Alligator mississippiensis: one gene and its partner. The protein of the gene in region 1 purifies or fractionates together with the protein of each later gene. This does not show direct contact. Links are inferred from orthologs where the notes say so. Each region holds a gene or a part of one and is shown in the gene's direction. Other genes may lie near its edges.

Region 1 (3,746 bases):
TTCCCTGCTACATGTCTGGACTTTTCAGATGCATCCCAGGCACATGAGAAGTCAGCCATTGGAAATGGTTGCTGTACTGTCAGTCAGGAGGGTGGGGTCACCCTCTTCCTGGGTTGCATGTATATTTAGGAGACACAGATCATGGGGGCAGGCCACTTCTTGGGAACTGTGACTAGTTAGGGGGCAGAGCCCTATTCTGATGTGGAGGAAGATGCTTTGGAAGGTGGCAGCTCCTTGTCTTCTAGGTGTTTGTATATAATGTTCTCAGGGCACGGTCAGCAATTTTCTCTTCCGCAGGCTGGATGTACAGAGGGAGATTCTGGGGGAGGGACTCACTTTCCGGTTCCAGTTGGGGCATGTATAGGAAAGTTTTGGAGAGAGGAATAACACTCCCTTATTGGGAACAGATTGTTCGGGAGGTGGGGGGGGGGGGGGGTGAAGTCATTTGTCCTGGATGGGGTGTGTCTTGGGAAAAGTCCTCTTTCTTTGATTGTGGGGATATTTTGAGGGGAGTTGAGTTGTGTTAAGCAGCTCTTTGCAGTCTAGGGCTTTATTTTCAGGTATATTGCCTTTATGACAATCGTTTATGACAATCCTTCTCAATCGTTTTAGACTTGAGCACCCCTCAAAAAAAAAATGCCGGCTCTTAGCTTTTGCTCGTTCCTTGGCTACAGAAAAATAATCAAGCAATTCTTCTGTCCCAAAGAACTCAGAAAGACCACAACAGGGCAGCATGTTCTGAATGCTAATTGAAACCTTGGGGTTTCTCTTGTGAATCCTGCGTTGGTGTCTGTACACCTAACAGTGCTAATATTGCACGGTACCCTGCATCACCCTTAAAAGGATCTCATGGAGCAGGGGTTGAGACGCCCTGCTTTATGGTGTTTAGTTAGGTATCTAATGATGAAGGGGCATGGAGGGCTGCAAGCTTTCACACACCCGGGTGCGCGGCATGGCGGCTGGAGTCGGTGCTTTGTCACTCCTGGAATTCTGCTTGTTTCCAGGTTTATTTGCCTCAGGATAATTTCACCTCCAGGCACTTTACTGCTTCTCCAAATCTACTCCCCTACCATTTCCACTACTTCTATGCCCCCCCCCATCTCTTTCCTCGTTCCCCAGCCCCACTCCTCACCCACCCCAGCATCACCTCCCTGCCCTCTCGGATAAGGTCCGGGTCTCTCCAAGTGCCTTTTCTGCTGTCTCCCCTCTTTCTATCGGTCCTCACACCTAGCACCCCCTTCACTCTCAGCCCAGCCACACTGTGGGCACTAGGCCAAGGGCAGGGCAGTAACCCGAGAGAAAGACACCATGTGGCAGGGCGGGGTGCGCTGCAGCATCCCCGCTCCAGCGCGGAGCAAGGGTGGGGCTGGCTCGGGCAGGGGGCTGCAGACCGGAGCAGAGACTTCCCCGGGGAGCACGAGAGCCCCCAGCGGCGCTGCCGGCCTCCCCCGCCTCTCCCCGCCGCGCCCTCAGCCTCTGGTGCCGCTGCTGCAGGCGGGTGTTGCAGCGTCTCTGCGTCAGGGAGGTGCGGCTCCCCCGGCTCCGCTCAGCCCTGCTCCCCTCCCCCTCCCGCCCCTCTCGCCTTGTGCTAGTCTTTAAACAGGCGCTGCAAAGGGAGGGCCGGGCACATGTGCGTCTCCATCATCCCTCTCCCGCTGTCCGCCTCTCGCCCGGGCACACCCGCACACACACACCCGCTCGCTCATTCATTCACTCCGAGGACGCCGGGCCAAGCCCCACACGCCGGCGCGAGCCCCGCCGGAGAGGTGAGGGGCCCGGCTCCGGCCGAGGGGGCTTCGCCCCGTGGGGGGGGGGGGGCACAGCCGTGCCCTCGGGGTGCTCCGGGCTTGGATGCTGCTGAATGGGGGAGGGGAAGGGGGGGGGGAGCCTGGCTCTTACCCCCGCGTGCGCGTGTGTACGTATGTGTGCATGTGCCGATGGATATGTGCGTGTGTCTCTGTGTGGGTGAGCGTGTACATGTGAGTAAGTATACGCGTGGGTGTGTGTGTATGCGCGTGGGTGTGTATCTGCATGTGCGTGCGTGTGTCTATGTGAGTGTGTGCATGTGCAGATGTATATGGGTGCCGCTCTGTGTGTAGATACAGGTTTGCGTGTGCCTGTGTCTGTGTATACGTGAGGGAGGGTGTGCGCGTGTGTCTGTGTATGTGTGGACGAGCGTGTGCATGTGCCTAAGTGTATGTGTGTGTGTATGCGCGTGGGTGCGTATGTATCTGTACGTGTCTATGTGAGTGTGTGCGTGTGTCTGTGCGTGCATGTGCATATACGTATATGATATGAGTGGATGCCTAAGCCATCTTGGTTCGCGGCGGCCGGGGGTGCGGGAGGCGCGAGGCATCCGCGGGGGCCGGCCGTGCCCCGAGGGCGCCGAGGGGGCGACGTGTCCGCCCGCTGCAGGAGGCGGGGCCCCTCCCCGCCGGCAAAGCCCTCGCCGTGCTGGGGGCAGGGGGCGCCGCTCCCGCGACAGGTCGGGCGCGCGCGTCAGGCTGCCTGGCCCCGGGGCCGAGGGAGGGAGCTGCGGGCTCCGAGGTGGGACAGAGAGGCAGGGGAGGGGGAGGTGCTCCCTCCTCGCTGCTGTCTCTGGCCCCCTCCCTCTCCCCGCGCCCCACCGCCAGTCTGGTAGGAGCAGCCCCGGGCGGGCTGCCGGCTGGTGCACTGTGATGTCAGCCATGTTTGGGTGGGTATGTTAATGAGGACCTCTCCTCAACCTTCATCTTCTTCCCTCGAGGCTTTTATCCCCCCCCCCCCCCATCTTTTTAAAGAGGACCCCCTTCCTTCCACAGGCATTGCACCACAGCCCAGAGGGGGAGATTCATGCTTCCCGTTTTATTTTTTGTGTTCTGCTTTTTGACTTCCCTTGATCATGCTCCTTAATGCCAACATCCATCTTCAGGGCATTCCTTTGTGGGCTGCTAAGTGTGATACAGCCAGGCAGGCGGGTTTTGGTTTTCTCTGCTAGGCTTTGTCTTGGGGGGGGTGGGATGTAGGACCTGGCCATGGCAGAGCTGCCAGCGCATTGTTGCCCAGCCAAACAAAGCGAGGAGCGGGGTGCGGAAGAATGGAAATGCCCCTTGCAAGAAATTGCATTTCATCAATGGGTTTTGTTTGGTTTTTTTGGTCAGAAATTGCTGTCTGGATCAGCCATTTTAGTCTTAGATAGGGGATTGCTGCATGTCAGGCACCGTGATTTTAGTTGTATTGGTGCACAGCAGAAAATTAACTGCTCAGCGTAGGGCTTTGTGAACGTCTCCCCTGCGTATGACAAGATAAGGATGCTGATTTCTTTCCGTTCCTCCTCCCCACCCCACTCATCCAAGAGTACATAAATGAGTAAAAAATAAGTGATTTCATATGAGTCAGGTGTTTCATCAGCCTCTGCATTCTGGCTGTGTGCGTTTAGGTGACTTTTTCTCAGACAAATTCTTCAGCTAACTTTCTCCTTTAAAAAAACATAATGAATAGTCCCCAAAATATATGTTTTATACAACCTGTTTCCCAGATAATTTAACAGTGATCCTCCTTGGTGATCTTCCTTGCTTTGCATAAAGAGAACATAGCTAATAAGTATAGGAATAACCAAGTCAAAATTACTCCATTTTGATTCTTAGCCATTATTCACAGTTTGGATTAGTAACATAGAAGTGGTTAAGATAACGCTGGTTAGGGCCTAGTTCTTCGTTCTCTGAGATCAGTTTTTTACTTAAGATTCCTGAACAAAACCTCCTATT
Region 2 (3,746 bases), on another chromosome or scaffold:
GAAAGTATTATTACATAATATCACGTTTTAAACTATAAAAAGGGGAGGGTTGGCAGCTCCCCTTCAATAGGGGAAGTCAGTTGGGTCTTACCAATTTAAGTATTAAGTGCACCCTACAATTTTTGTCTGATTTTTTTGCAGCTTTTTAATTGATGGTCATGCTCAGTGTTTGAAGTGTGTGTATTTGTCAGACAAGATTCTTTGGGTAGATGTGATATCTTATATCAGACCAACTGAGTAGTTGGAAAAAAGTTTTCTGGAGGATTTCCGGCACAAACGCCCTTCTTCAGGCGTAGGAAGCCTCTGCTGTTCTGAGACTCTGAGGAATGAGAAGCTAAAAGGGTGACAGGATGTCAGTGAGAATGTAAATAGGTGGGAATTAGGAAAACAAAACAGGTAGAGCAGGGAAGTGGGGAGGAGAATGAGGGGGGAAAAAGCCAAAGGTGAGTAAGGGAGACTCTACAGCAGTAGATTGTTAAGGCAGAAAAGAGGCTGTCTGTGAAAAAGGACCTATTTACATTCTCACTGACATCTTGCCACACTTTTAGCACCTCTCATTCCTTGGAGTCTCAGAACAGCAGAGACCTCCTATGCCTGAGGAAGGGTGACTGCACCCGACAGCTTGATTATAACTTTTTTCCAAGTACTCATTTGGTCTAATAAAGATATTGCATCTACTTAAATAATCTTGCCTACCTGGAAATTAGGAAGACAAAGGGCAGAAAAGGATGTGGCCACTCAAAATCTGGATAACCATCAAAACTTTCCTGTGCATTAAGCGCACACTAATGATCACTGTCCAGTGCAAGTAGGTTCTTCCTATTTGGAGCAGGAAACTCAGGGGAGCGCTGCCTCTAACCCCCTCCACACTTAATTACACACACACCGGCCGTAGGCAGGTAGATACACAAACATACACCTACCTCTCTGTCTATAGCACATCTGTACATGTATCGCCCTATAGCACGTGTGTGTGTATGTGTGTGTGTAATCACAAGCTTTGTGAGCTGAAGCTCGCTTCAGCAGACACCGTGACGACTAACTACGACCAAGCCAGGAAGCCGGAACCCGTGATCTGCCGCTGGCGGCCTCAGGCAGGGCTGAGAGGGCCGCACGCAGCTGCGCACAGCTGGGCTGGGCTGGGCGGGCGAAGGGGGCGGGGCAGCGCTCGGCAGCCTCTAGGTCACTCCTCCTCCCCCCGCCGAGTCGAGCCACCGCCCTTGCAAGCGGACGTAGAGCCGGGCCATGGAGGCGTGGGGCGCGGCGGCGACCGTGGCGCTGTCCGTGTGGCTTGCCCTGGTGCTCGGCCTCATCCTGCTGCCGTCGGTCATCGGCGTGTCGCTGGGTATCTCCGAGCTCTACATGACCGTCCTGGTCAAGACCCTGGAGGTGAGTGGGAGGCTCTGCCGCTCTTTCCTGAGTCCTGCGGATGCCTTCGGGAACCCAGCCCAGCCTGCCTCCCCAGTCACCTGGGATTGGAAACACCCCCTGACCCCTCTCCCCAGCTGTTGGAATCTTTCCTCCCCCCCCCCCCCCGCCAGCTGTTCGAACCTGCACCACCCCACTTCAATCCTGTCCCAGCTGTCGAAACTTTCCCCTTCCAGCTGTTCGACCCCTCCTCCCCCCCATCCTCTCTCCCTTCCAGGTGTTCGAACCTTCCCCCCATCTTGCAGGCTCAGAGGATATGTGAACTCAAGGTATACATGGGCACGTGTCTATGTTATGCCTTCGGCCAGAGTAGGTAGATCAGCGGTCATCAACAGTGGATCTCGATCCACCAGTAGATCTTTGGAGCCTCTTGGAGTTGATCCAAGGCTGGGGTGGGGTGCTGAGTGCATGTGTCCCAGCCCAGCAGGTCAGTCCATGTGGGGGGGAGGGAAGGGATGGGGGCTAGATCAAGGCCCCCATGGTGAAGGACAGTGCTGCAGAGGCAGGAGCAGGGGTAAGTTGAATGGGGTCCTGGCCAGGTGGGACTTACCTGCAGGGGAGGCATGACCCCAAATAATTTTTTCTGCCTCAGTCTGCCCCCCCTCTTCCTTGCCTGCAGACTTACCTGCTGGGTGGAGGTGGTGGCAGCTGTGCACAGTAGATCTTGGATTGCTTTTAAATGCCAAAGGTGATCTCCTACTTAAAAAGGTTGGAGACCACTGAGGCAGATAAACATCAGGCTAGCTCCCACATCCCCAAAAGAATACAGTTCTGAAGTGGTATGCTCCCCAGTTTATTTGAGCTGACATAATAGGCTAACACTGCAATCTGTCTAGGCTCAGAGGTGATCCAGTTTTGGTGCTTTGGGGAGCCACTTCTGGCCTAGGGACAGTGATTATATATGAGCTGGTATAAGTGATTGGAAGTTGGTTTAAACCTGTAACACAACAGAAGTTCAGTGCACGTAGACTGGTATCAAAATGACAAACTGGTTTGAGATGGATATGGATGTAGTATCAGAATTAACTGATTTAGGTTACACCAGTTATCAGACTTGTGTCCTAGATCCCCTCCAAACACAAGTTAGAGCTTAGTCCTCTGGCATCCCAGGATACATTGCAGCCCCCCGCTAACCCCCATCCAGCATTCCCTCTAAGCTCTGTGGTATGTGCAGCTATGTAGGCACACTCATGCTGCACTGCCAGGCGCACCTGTTCTGCTGCGCAGCTTAGAGGCCCCCATCTCGCGGTCAGCTAGCCTCCACCCCAGCTTGTCCGCTCCAGGCCAGCCAGTGGCCCCATGCCTTCTGTCATAGAGCTGAGGCAGCCTCCCTAGCCCTGTGGGTCATGGCATGGGGGCAGGTGAGGAGCTAATGGATCCCTGCCCCTGTGCTATCTCATAGCTCAGGAAAAGGCAGGGAGACTTCTTGCTCTCAAAAGGACTTTATTGCAACTGCTAAACCACACAGAAAGATGGCTGACAACTTCCTGTTGATATAATTGTGTCAGCCCTCAGGAAGGGCTTACTACTACATCCCCCTTTCTTAAGAAAAACCTGAAGGATTTTCAAAGAACTGCAAAGTCATCTTGAGTGGAGAGGTTGCAAGCACATTGCTCTTGTGAGTCTTTACCACTCACTTTTCTACAAAAAGAGAATAATCAAATCAGAAACATCAATAACCCTTTTCAAGCAGTTAAGTTCACAAATCTAGTCTATTTGGTGAATCTGACGCACATCCTGACCTAATATGGTAAACAAGTGTAATATGAAGGAGATTCTCTCAATTTTCTTGAAGGAGAAGACCTCTAGGTGTCTCCACCCAATATGAACAAGGGCTGTCCGCCCTAGCCTAGATGGTGCTTTGTACTCCTGCATCTGGAATCCAAACTTTCCTGATATGGGGAAGGAGCAGGGACACTTCTTGAGGCATGCCTGGTGTTATAAAGGACAGTTAAACTGATAATTCCATTTCTGTCTTTCTCATCAAATTCCTGTGTATCCACAAGTTTTGAAACCACCTATCAAAGTTGGGTAGGCTTATATGGAATCAGTGACTCAGAAGCAACTCAGCTGGACTCCATCTATGCTCTAATGGTATTGAAGGGTGTATTAGGAGAACCTTATAGAGATCTTCATTTTTTCTCAAGCAAATTCTTCATAGTCTGCACTGCACATTCTGCTTCCCCATTACTAGGTGGGAAATACAGACTGCTGGTGATATGCTGAAGTCATACTGGGCTGCACACTGCTTAAATGCAGCTCCAGAAAATTGTGGACCATTATCTGTTCTTAAAACTGACAATATGCCATGGCAAGCA

Evidence for each region.
Region 2: the proteins of SLC6A15 (region 1) and GPAT3 purify together in Homo sapiens (co-immunoprecipitation; 3 studies listed by BioGRID and IntAct, counting the BioPlex papers as one, with this or other methods). This does not show direct contact. The link is inferred for Alligator mississippiensis from reciprocal best matches to the Homo sapiens genes SLC6A15 and GPAT3.

Annotation. Positions count from the first base shown.
Region 1 is NC_081827.1:81,766,546-81,770,291, reverse strand, and holds the start of SLC6A15 (sodium-dependent neutral amino acid transporter B(0)AT2), read left to right. Parts: upstream 1-1,572; 5' UTR 1,573-1,766; intron 1,767-3,746.
Region 2 is NC_081825.1:146,939,492-146,943,237, forward strand, and holds the start of GPAT3 (glycerol-3-phosphate acyltransferase 3), read left to right. Parts: upstream 1-1,187; 5' UTR 1,188-1,245; coding exon 1,246-1,389; intron 1,390-3,746. UniProt on the Homo sapiens protein: Converts glycerol-3-phosphate to 1-acyl-sn-glycerol-3-phosphate (lysophosphatidic acid or LPA) by incorporating an acyl moiety at the sn-1 position of the glycerol backbone.